Linked DNA regions of Drosophila melanogaster. Changing the gene in region 2 together with the main gene of any one other region gives a genetic interaction. Each region holds a gene or a part of one and is shown on either strand. Other genes may lie near its edges.

Region 1 (5,073 bases), on a different chromosome or scaffold from region 2:
AATAAATCGAACCAATTAAGAAATGTAATTTCAAACTGAGTCACGGCAAACTTGTTTATTTGGCTTAAGTGAAGTGACTCGCAGTGTTTTCGTATTCAGTTTAAATACAATAATAATAGCAATGGAATCTAATATCTATTTATCTGTTTTCGTTCTTATAATGAATATTTATAATATTGTGATTAACATATTCAGGAAACTTGGTTTATAAACGTGTTTAAATGTGTGTTGTTGAGTTGGATAACTTAAGGTATATTTGTTAAGTAAATGAATTGGGATTTTCCAAGAGGGGTTCTTTTTTGCAGCTTGAACAAAACTTCCACAAAATACAATGACTCACCTATAAAAGTGGCAATTACGAAGGCAATCATCAGCCACAGCCAGCACTTGTAGGCTTTTTTCGAATGTTGCTCCAGTTTCTCAGCCTCTTTTCCTAGCGAATTGATATTGCGATCCGCCATTCCGGCGGAACGCGACACAACCTCCGTGTCTCTTCGGATAATCCTGTTGGCGGTCTCCGTCTGTTCCTTTAAGTTCCGAGTCAGCGAGAGCATGTGCTCGGTGATCTTCTCCTGGGCATTCGTATAATACTTGGCAGCCTGGTTCATGTTTTCACCAGAAGTTTCCTGAACGTTTGCGCTTCCAGAACTGGAGGAGGATTCATCTGCTCCTCGACGTCTTCGCAGGGCATCGGAATCTAAAATAAATGTTTTTTAAGTTATGAACTATTACATTTTTGAATTTAAGAAATTTTAAAATATGTACAAAACTGTTTGTTAATTCTTTATTACCCTGGAGCAGTTCCTTTCGCAGTTCGTTGTGATATTTGCTGTTTTGCAGCTGCCTTATTTCTTTCAGTGCATTTTCCCCAGTTTCGCTGACGGCTGAGGATTGTGAAGGAGTCTTTGTTGTGGAACCGGGAACGTCTGCATATCCGGTGGATATTTTAAGGGCCTGTAGGCGCTCCAAGTAGCCCGGGATACGTTTGACACTCTGCGGATCGCCCATCGCCTCCAGCTCGGCAAGCATTGTGTCCAGGGACTTAATGAACTTCTGCAGCCTCCAGAAGTTCTGTTCGCTTTTGGCCAGTTCCTCGCAGTTGGCCAGCAGGGTGCGAATATTTACATTTAGCTTCGTGGCCATTTTCAAGTTGAAAACATGAAAACAACAAAGTACAAATTCCTAAATTAAAATACCAGGTCGAAACCTATTTGTTGTCAGCAGCTGGTCCTATTAGCGATAGAAACTTATCGATAGGTTGTCGTGAGTAGTGATGAAAAATTATTGAGGATGTGTATGTAAAATGTAAGAATGTAAAAATGTATAAAGTAAAAAAAACATAACAAACAAATAATCTTCTAATCCTGTTAAAATTTAATTTTTAAAAATTTTTGAAAAAAAACATCAAGTTCCCAATATGCCATATTTATAAGCTTATGTCTACTTTCTCAAGATAACGTAATGCATTTATATTATTGCATGCATACTTCTGGGCGCGACTCGAAAATCTTATCAAACCTCTTGGCCAATATCTGAAGTTATCAATTAAACCGTTTTTGATAGCCACAGCATATGAGTAGTTTCACGCAAACGCACATTTTTGTTTTAGCTGTTGTCGTACGCCAGGTGTCAAGATCAAATGGCATACCATTCAAAGGTTGAATTTTTATAGTAGTTTTTTTTTCTTCATTTTCCTTAAGTGCCGTTACACGCAAGTGAGGTGTTATCAAACAGCTGACGGGGCAAAAACAATAAAACTCACCCTCTTTGTTAACGGTACTAGAGGCCATGAATGAAACACGACTTCGTTCTCTCTCGACTTTCTCTCACCGCTCTCTTTGGCGGTCTCTTCTTGCGCAGCAGCACCAGCAGTTAACGGTGCATGTTGAAAAGTTCTCACACAAACGTCGTGAAAATCGAAATCGATAAGTAAGCAACGGATTTTAGCTGCCCAGAAAAAGACCACAAATTTCAGTGAAAACCCAGCGATAAGAATCCCAAAAAGTACTAATCCAGCTGAAAAACAACCATCTTAACCGGCCATGTCCAAAAAAAGTGTTAGCCAAGTGTTTTGAATAACGTAGTTGGTGTAAATGCTTAAAAAAAATAAGCTAGTCCGGGGCCAGAGAAATCGATACGATACCCCCAAAAAAAGGGGGGCTGCTGCGTGGGCTGCCCGAGTGAAAATTTCCAGCTAAAAATAGTACTAGATTTGAGCTTGAAGAAAACCCTTGATTTCCTTTGCGTTTCGATGTCAGTTATCATTGCATTTCAGTTACATAAGTTTTGAGACCCGTTGCTGCGTAGCGAACCTATTAACGGCTTAAGGACCACACAACCACCCACATGTACCACCAACACCACCCATTTACACAGCCAAAAATAATCGGAAAATATATATATATAATAAATATCAGTAGGGCTACATTTTATCTAATCTTTAATTTGATAATGTTAGATTCTTTGATATAAGTCATGGCGTTAAAAATAAATCTCCCCTTTTAAGCCACTGAAATATAAATTTTTTTATATTAAAAAAATAAGATGGGATCTTAAATATCGTATCGTATTTTAATACCCGTATATCATATCCTCTCATAAAGCAATCATACTATTTACAGTTGCTAGAGGTAATGTAACACCATTAAGTCGGAGCTAAAATAGAAAAAAAAAGCCAATTGTAGAGTGACCCGATTGTCGTAGAAAAAGCCCCATGATGCAGCCGCCGCCGCGTAAGGTAAATCATAAATAAATCGAATTGATAAAGATAGTTCCACAATAATCATTCATCGTATACCTCGTAATCCTGCAGGGAAACTATGTGAAATTCCTCAAGAATTTGCACACGGAGCAGGTGGCCAAGCTGCAGCTGAAGAATCAGCATGAATGCGACCTCCTGGAGGACATCCGGCAGTTCACCATCAAGCGTTCCGCTGTCGAGAAGTCATACAGTGAGTCGCTGCTGAAGATCTCATCGCAGTATCTCAACAAGAAGATACCCAATATACCAGATATTAAGATGGAGGGCATGGAGGAACGCTGGTGGGTATTGCTTTCCAGCTAACTAGTAACGTTCTTTCGAGAACCTTCAGTCAATTTGAATTACCCACCTACTTATACGTAATCTCATAGGAACATGTGGAGCGTTTGGCGCACTGTGCTCGAGGAGAATGAGAAACTGGCTCGTGCTCGATTGGCCGCCATAGAGGTGTTTCAACAGCAAATCGCGGATGAGGCCAAGGTTCTGCGGGACTATAAGTTGGCCATAGCTAAGCGTTCGCTAGCCGGAATTGTCAATGTGCAGAAGGAACTCCATCTGAGCGTGGGCGATGTGGATAAGACCAAGAAATCATACTTTGACGAAGAGCATTGTGCTCACGATGTTCGGGACAAGGCCCGCGATATCGAGGAGAAGCTTAAGAAGAAGAAGGGCTCCTTCTTTCAATCAATCACTTCGCTGCAGAAGAACAGCGCCCGGGTCACATCTCGCAAGGAGCTGCTGGAGGAGAAGTCATCTGGCGCCCGGAATGACTACGTACTCAGCTTGGCGGCGGCCAATGCGCATCAGAATCGCTACTTCACCGTCGATCTGCAGACAACGATGACCACCATGGAGAACTATGTTTTCGAGCGGGTTGCCGAGTACCTGATGTTAATGGGGTAAGTGTATAATGGCATTGCTCATAAATTATAAACCATCCAGAAGTGCAAAATCGGTAAATCAATTATAAATTTTACAAGTTCAAAGCCATTTTCTAATCAATGTTTGCTCAAGTCGTCAATTACATTCTGATAATTTTTATGGCGCTACCTGATATGGCTCATAAAGTTATTAAATCATTTTATTTAATCTTATGACTCAATATGTACATATGTACATAACAGTGCTGTCTTAAGAAATCTTTATCTTAATGTTGCCTAACCATTAAAACACATCTTTTCCAGACGCACAGAGCTGTTGACTTGCTCGGCTACGCAGAATAGCTTCGGAAAGATCCGTGACCAGGCGCAGCAGTTGACGCGGGAGTACAACCTGCAGTGCTGCTACCTATTCTATCCGGTGCTGAAGCAGCACATCCAATATGACTTCGAGGCGTGCGACAATGATCCGGTGCGCAAGGTGACCGCGGAGCATGAGTCCGCCGCCGAGACGCTAACCAAGGAGGCCAAGAATCTGGCCGGAAGAGTGGTCAAGGAGAATGCCTCGATCAGGGAGAATGCCAAGAAGTTGGCCTTGTGCCAGTCGCTGCGAGACTCTGGCCAGCGCACGGATCCCAACGATCCAAATGGACCGGATCTGGACACCAAGATCGAGGAGTTCCGTGATCAAATCCGTCGATCCGAGACGGAAAAGACAAAAGCGGAGGCATGTCTGCAGTGCCTGCGCGATGGCGGCATTAACGTGGACGAGTGGGTGCAGGAGGCCGAGAATATGGGTGTACAGGAGCTGACGCGTTCGGCCAGTTCCATTTCGATGCGCACCGACGCCTCTGGCCAGGGCGAGAATCCCAGTTCCGATTCATTCTACGACAGCGACAAGGAGGAGACTCAGGCAGCTGCCCAAACGAAGCCCAAGCAGGAGCAACAGCTATCCAGGGATCGTACCTTCAGCGATAGTGAGGATGAGCCCGAAGTGCGTCCATCGGCAGCGGCAGCTTCTTCTGCAGCTGCTGCCTCGTCATCCATGATGGCCAGTAGCGCTGGTGGCTGGGATGATCCCACTGAGGTCAACTGGGGAGCTGGCGAGGAGGAGGACGACAAGGACGAACCGATTGTTCCAGAACCCAAGGAGGCGATCTTCAAGTGCACTGCACTCTACAGCTATACGGTATGTGAGCTTTAAAGAACTATATACTTTTTCTTGCCACTAATTTTTCACTTTTTCCACAGGCCCAGAATCCCGACGAGCTCACCATCGTCGAAAATGAACAGCTCGAGGTGGTTGGCGAAGGCGACGGCGATGGGTGGCTAAGGGCCCGCAACTATCGCGGCGAGGAGGGCTACGTGCCACACAACTATCTGGACATCGATCAGGAGACAGCGGGCAGCGCCTTTAATGGTACTTCCGGCAAT
Region 2 (4,461 bases):
ATAGAGAACACCCTGCTGGTGGAGCCAGAGTGTACTCCTTTCGTGAAGGAACCCTCCGGGCGCTGTATCGTCTTGTACACCTTTATAGCCAGGGACGAGAATGATTTGTCTGTGGAACGGGGTGAATTTGTTACCGTGCTAAATCGCGAGGATCCCGATTGGTTTTGGATAATGCGCAGTGATGGCCAGGAAGGATTTGTGCCAGCCAGCTTTATTTATCCTGCAGACAGTGTACGAGTTTTGCAGCAACAGAAAGCCACTTTAAATGCCATGGAGACCATTTTGCAGCAGGGTCAACAAGGTCAGCAGAGCCAGCAACAGCAGCAGCCTCAATTGGGCTTGGGAACAGATGATCTACGCTACCATGGCACGGAGCTGGTGATGCTGTATGATTACAAAGCGCAAGCTCCAGACGATCTGTACCTTTCTGTGCGGAGAGGAGATTGGATTTACGCAGACTTAACCAATCAGACTGTTGATGGCTGGCTTTGGGCTTATGCTCCGAAAACCCGCAAATATGGATTCATCCCGAAAGCCTATGCCCGACCACCCGCGATGACCAGCCTTTAAGAAATAGATTCAATACCATAATCGTTTTAATTATCACTTCGACTAACACTAAAGCGTAATATTCGTAAGTCTTCCAAACACAGTCGAATTGCATTTCGAAAAGCGTTTCTTTGTGGCTTGGATATTTTTATCTTGAACACTAAATTAATTTTCAACTCATAAATGCCATTTTCATTGAGTAATAAATTGTGCCTTAGATTTATTTTGTATGTGAGTTTGCATAACATATCGTATACACTTAGTCTAGTGATTTCATTCTTAACTGTAAGTGCCTCGTAAACGAATATCAAAAATATCTACTATCGTATTCCATATAGTACCAGCGTGGGCAGCACTTTGCTAGCATCTAGGTCTAGATATGAATACTAAAGCACTGTAGGGGCCAACCCCTCGATATGCACTTGGTTTGTATTATTGTATTGGATTTGCATCCAAGCGGCGCAGTTGCGTAGAGTTATGCTCAGCATAATGTTGTACGCACACGCACGTCCAACTGGATTTTGGTTATCACCTCCGATTGGCGAAGGTCTACTTTATTCCCAAACTGTCGCTAGCTGAGGAGCAGTGCGAGCAATTAAGCTCCATATTTCTGTAGAGAGAGATTGGCTAATGAGATTTTTGCATTTGTAAAAGAAATTGTTATCCTACTTCATAGCTTCTCTCAGCTGCTCCTTCTCGTTCATCTCCTCGCGCAGTTTCTGCTGCAAACTGAGAATGAGATCGTTTTTATTTCGAATCTGCAGCTTCAGATGCTCAATTGTCTCCTCCTGAGCTTCGAAAATTGCCTAGAAGTAAATGAAATCTTATATAGATTTGATAAATACATGAAAAAGAAATCATCCTACACGACACTCCTCCATGGATTCAGAGTACGAAGGCGGCTCGTCCAGGCAGAAGAACTCCCGAACCAGTTTGCACTTTCGCAGCTCCTCCTTGGCCATCACTGAGTTGACGAAGATCTGCAGACCTTGCACCCGATTGTCGAGAAAGACGGCATTGAAGTTATCGCCGAAAAGCTTCTTCCGGGGCAGCATGAGCGTAAGGTTGGGAAAAGCCTGCTTTAGCTTGCTATTGAGCCGCACGAAGTCGGTGTAGCGTCGCATAACAAGCCAATAGTCGTTGGTCTCCGGATTCTCGACTCGCAGCTTGTAGGCAGTGAAACGCGCACGTTCCTCCATAACCTCGTAACCAATAATGGGCACCCTTAGCACAGCGTTGGGGTCCACGGGCGGCACCACCGATCCCGAGGAGAGAGTCATCTGGCTGGCGAACATAGAGTTGGAGCCAGTGTGCCGGGAGCTGGATTGGCTGTAGCCCAAGCTGCACTCGCTCATCCGCCGAGGAGTTCTAGACCTGGATTCCAAATCCACGGAATGTCCACCTGCCTGGTTGCCATAGGACGACTGCGTCAGGTCGCGATGGGAACGTGCACCGCCGAGCATTTCGCTTTTGTTTATCGGCGTTCTCGGAGATTGTTCGTAACTGTGAGAGCTAATCCTTTGCAGGCAAACCTCTGACTTGGCGTTTGCCACCGTCAATGGAGCACCGGAGTTACTGGCCAGGATTAAACTAACATCCCCCTCCGATTTGCTGCGCAACAGGCTGTTGTTTTGGTATTTTCCGATTTGTCGTAGGTCAGGACTCGAGTGGCACTTGCGACCGAGTAGCTTCTGCTCCCGGAACTGACTCCGTTTGTCCAATCCGCAGACGGAGTTCCCAGTTTTGAGCAACGATTTCTTCGGTGACGTTATTGCTGTGCTGGCCTTCTTAAAGAGCGTTGCTTGTGAAGTTCTTGCTGGTGCTGCTAAATGGTTGTTATTGTTGCCGTAGCCAGTGCCTGTTTCTCTTTTCCGAAGCGCACGCAGTGACATTGCTTTGTTTATCTTGATTTCGCTGTAGCGTTTCGTTTGCTACATGACTTAGAAAATTTCCCAAAACGAAATTGCTTTTCTCCCTTTTCTTTTGTTTTCTTTTGTGGAGCGCAGTGTGGCCACACTCCGTTGACCCAATTGAGACAGTGTTGGCTAGCGCTGCACTGGCCAATCGATTACACTTGGCGGCAAACAGCTGTGGGTCTATCGAAAATGGAGCATGTGGTAAATATTATTGTTATTCTCGCGAGATTTATTTAAATAAATGATTTACCCCAGAAAAGCGAAACTAAAGAGCTGGTACACAAGCTCGTGCGCCTGAGCATAACCGAAAATGAGGAGGAAATCTCGGCATTACTCAAGAACCTACGACTTTTGCTCACAAAAGGCAGGGAAAACCAAGAGACTTTGGCTGAAAGTGCGGAGTTTTCCAGCTTTTTAAATGCTGTGGCTTTCAGTCCAGTGATGCGCACGGAGCATCGGCTTATACACAATCTATCTCTGCAGGTGCTAGCCAATAGTGTGGTTAACAATGAGACCACCCAAGCACTTATCTGGAGTCAGCATGGCTTGAAGATCGCCGAACAAGCTTACGCTTCTCCCTTGGGAAGTTCGAATAATGTGCTCCTCATGATCATGTACAACATATATATCAGTGGTCATGGTCTTATCACCGACTTGGTGGCACTTAAAACTTGTCTGCAACTGTGGCGAGCTCTAAACGAAGCCCAGTGCACCTATAACTTCGAGTATCTACACTTCTTCCTGGAGCACTTCATTGTCCAGAATGGACGAGCCTGCGTAGCTTGTTACCAAAAGCTGGAGACTGAAGATCGTGTTGCTTTCCTCGACTACGTGGCCCACTATCTGAGGGAAAACAGTCCCAATGGTGATGTTACGCTGTTTTTACTGCAGCACTTTGCTAAAGAATTCCGCATGAAATCCGATTGCCTCCTGCGTGAAACGATAAAGCTTAAGCATGAGCTTCATCCACGTGAAGTTCACACCTTACTGCGCATCATCGCAAGTGCAAGCGGCTCAGAGAAGTATGCTAATGTATATCCCAACGACCAATCGCTGTTCATCAACGTGAGCAGCCTGCTGAGATGCATTGTGTCTGCTGGCAAGGAACCGGATGGAGGCGGCCTTGATAAGCCCATGACGAAGCTGGAAGAGGTGGCACTCACTTCGGACATTGATGCGGGCTACGAAAAAAAGGTGTCCTATGAACTCAAAACGTTACTCGTACGCTGCTCCGCCAATCTTCTGTATGACAACAAGGCCAACAAGGGATACTGCCTGGACACACAGCTGCTGCCCACGCTTCTTGAATGCACAACGATGGATGCTCGAAACCCATGTAAGAAACATATTTGAAACAAGCTAAAGCATAGCTTAACATTTTACTTTTTATCCCTCAGTGATGCGGGAGTGGAGCATCTTGGCCATCCGAAACGCCTGCATCAACTGTCCGGAGGCGCAACAGGTGATCGCTGGCCTGACTATGCAGGGCTCCGCGCCCAACGACATCCTCACCGAACTCAACCTGGACATGGGAGCGCTACGCATCTCTGACAGGCAGTAATAGTTTCGATGACCTAGCATACAGCATACGTCTACCCATGAGAAATTGGCAAACGAGCCATGACCACTGGCTGGCCAACAAGTGGTTAGATGTTATTCACACCACGTCATGCTCCTCGCAGTCGTTGCCCCCCTTTTCGGGCTTTACGATGCGCTAATGGCATGCCAACAGATAGCCAAAGGCATTCATAAAAGCGATGTCAACGTTTAATGGTAAAACGGGGCGGAATTGTGGCGGTCGGCTGGCGTGGCTAGCGAAGATATAAAAATAGCTGCCCATGTACCATGCTCTGTGTACCATTAAAAAAGAGATGCCTAAATCCATCTAAATTCTAAATTTGTGCGCACACTGCCGCAGCAGCGGCGGATTCATCGGCGGAGTTGAGTTCATGTTTATGGCGTAATTAAGCAACGATGACGTCTGCTCGAGTAATTC

Evidence for each region.
Region 1: of Snx16 (region 2) and nwk, changing one suppresses a phenotype caused by changing the other (phenotypic suppression), as found in Drosophila melanogaster (one study listed by BioGRID).

What each region holds. Positions count from the first base shown.
Region 1 is NT_037436.4:9,135,961-9,141,033, forward strand, and holds the start of nwk (nervous wreck), read left to right. Parts: upstream 1-1,899; 5' UTR 1,900-1,929; exon of another isoform or gene 1,930-2,004; intron 2,005-2,621; 5' UTR 2,622-2,716; coding exon 2,717-2,737; intron 2,738-2,812; coding exon 2,813-3,042; intron 3,043-3,132; coding exon 3,133-3,660; intron 3,661-3,945; coding exon 3,946-4,828; intron 4,829-4,890; coding exon 4,891-5,073. Other genes in the region: Use1 (unconventional SNARE in the ER 1), read right to left, coding at 341-697, 792-1,143. UniProt on the Drosophila melanogaster protein: Adapter protein that provides a link between vesicular membrane traffic and the actin assembly machinery. Acts together with Cdc42 to stimulate actin nucleation mediated by WASp and the ARP2/3 complex.
Region 2 is NT_033778.4:17,724,284-17,728,744, forward strand, and holds Snx16 (sorting nexin 16), read right to left. Parts: upstream 2,565-4,461; 5' UTR 2,442-2,564; coding exon 1,416-2,441; intron 1,356-1,415; coding exon 1,219-1,355; intron 1,160-1,218; coding exon 1,099-1,159; 3' UTR 747-1,098; downstream 1-746. Other genes in the region: Dlish (dachs ligand with SH3s), read left to right, coding at 1-570; CG4975 (uncharacterized protein), read left to right, coding at 2,655-2,666, 2,721-3,801, 3,863-4,026.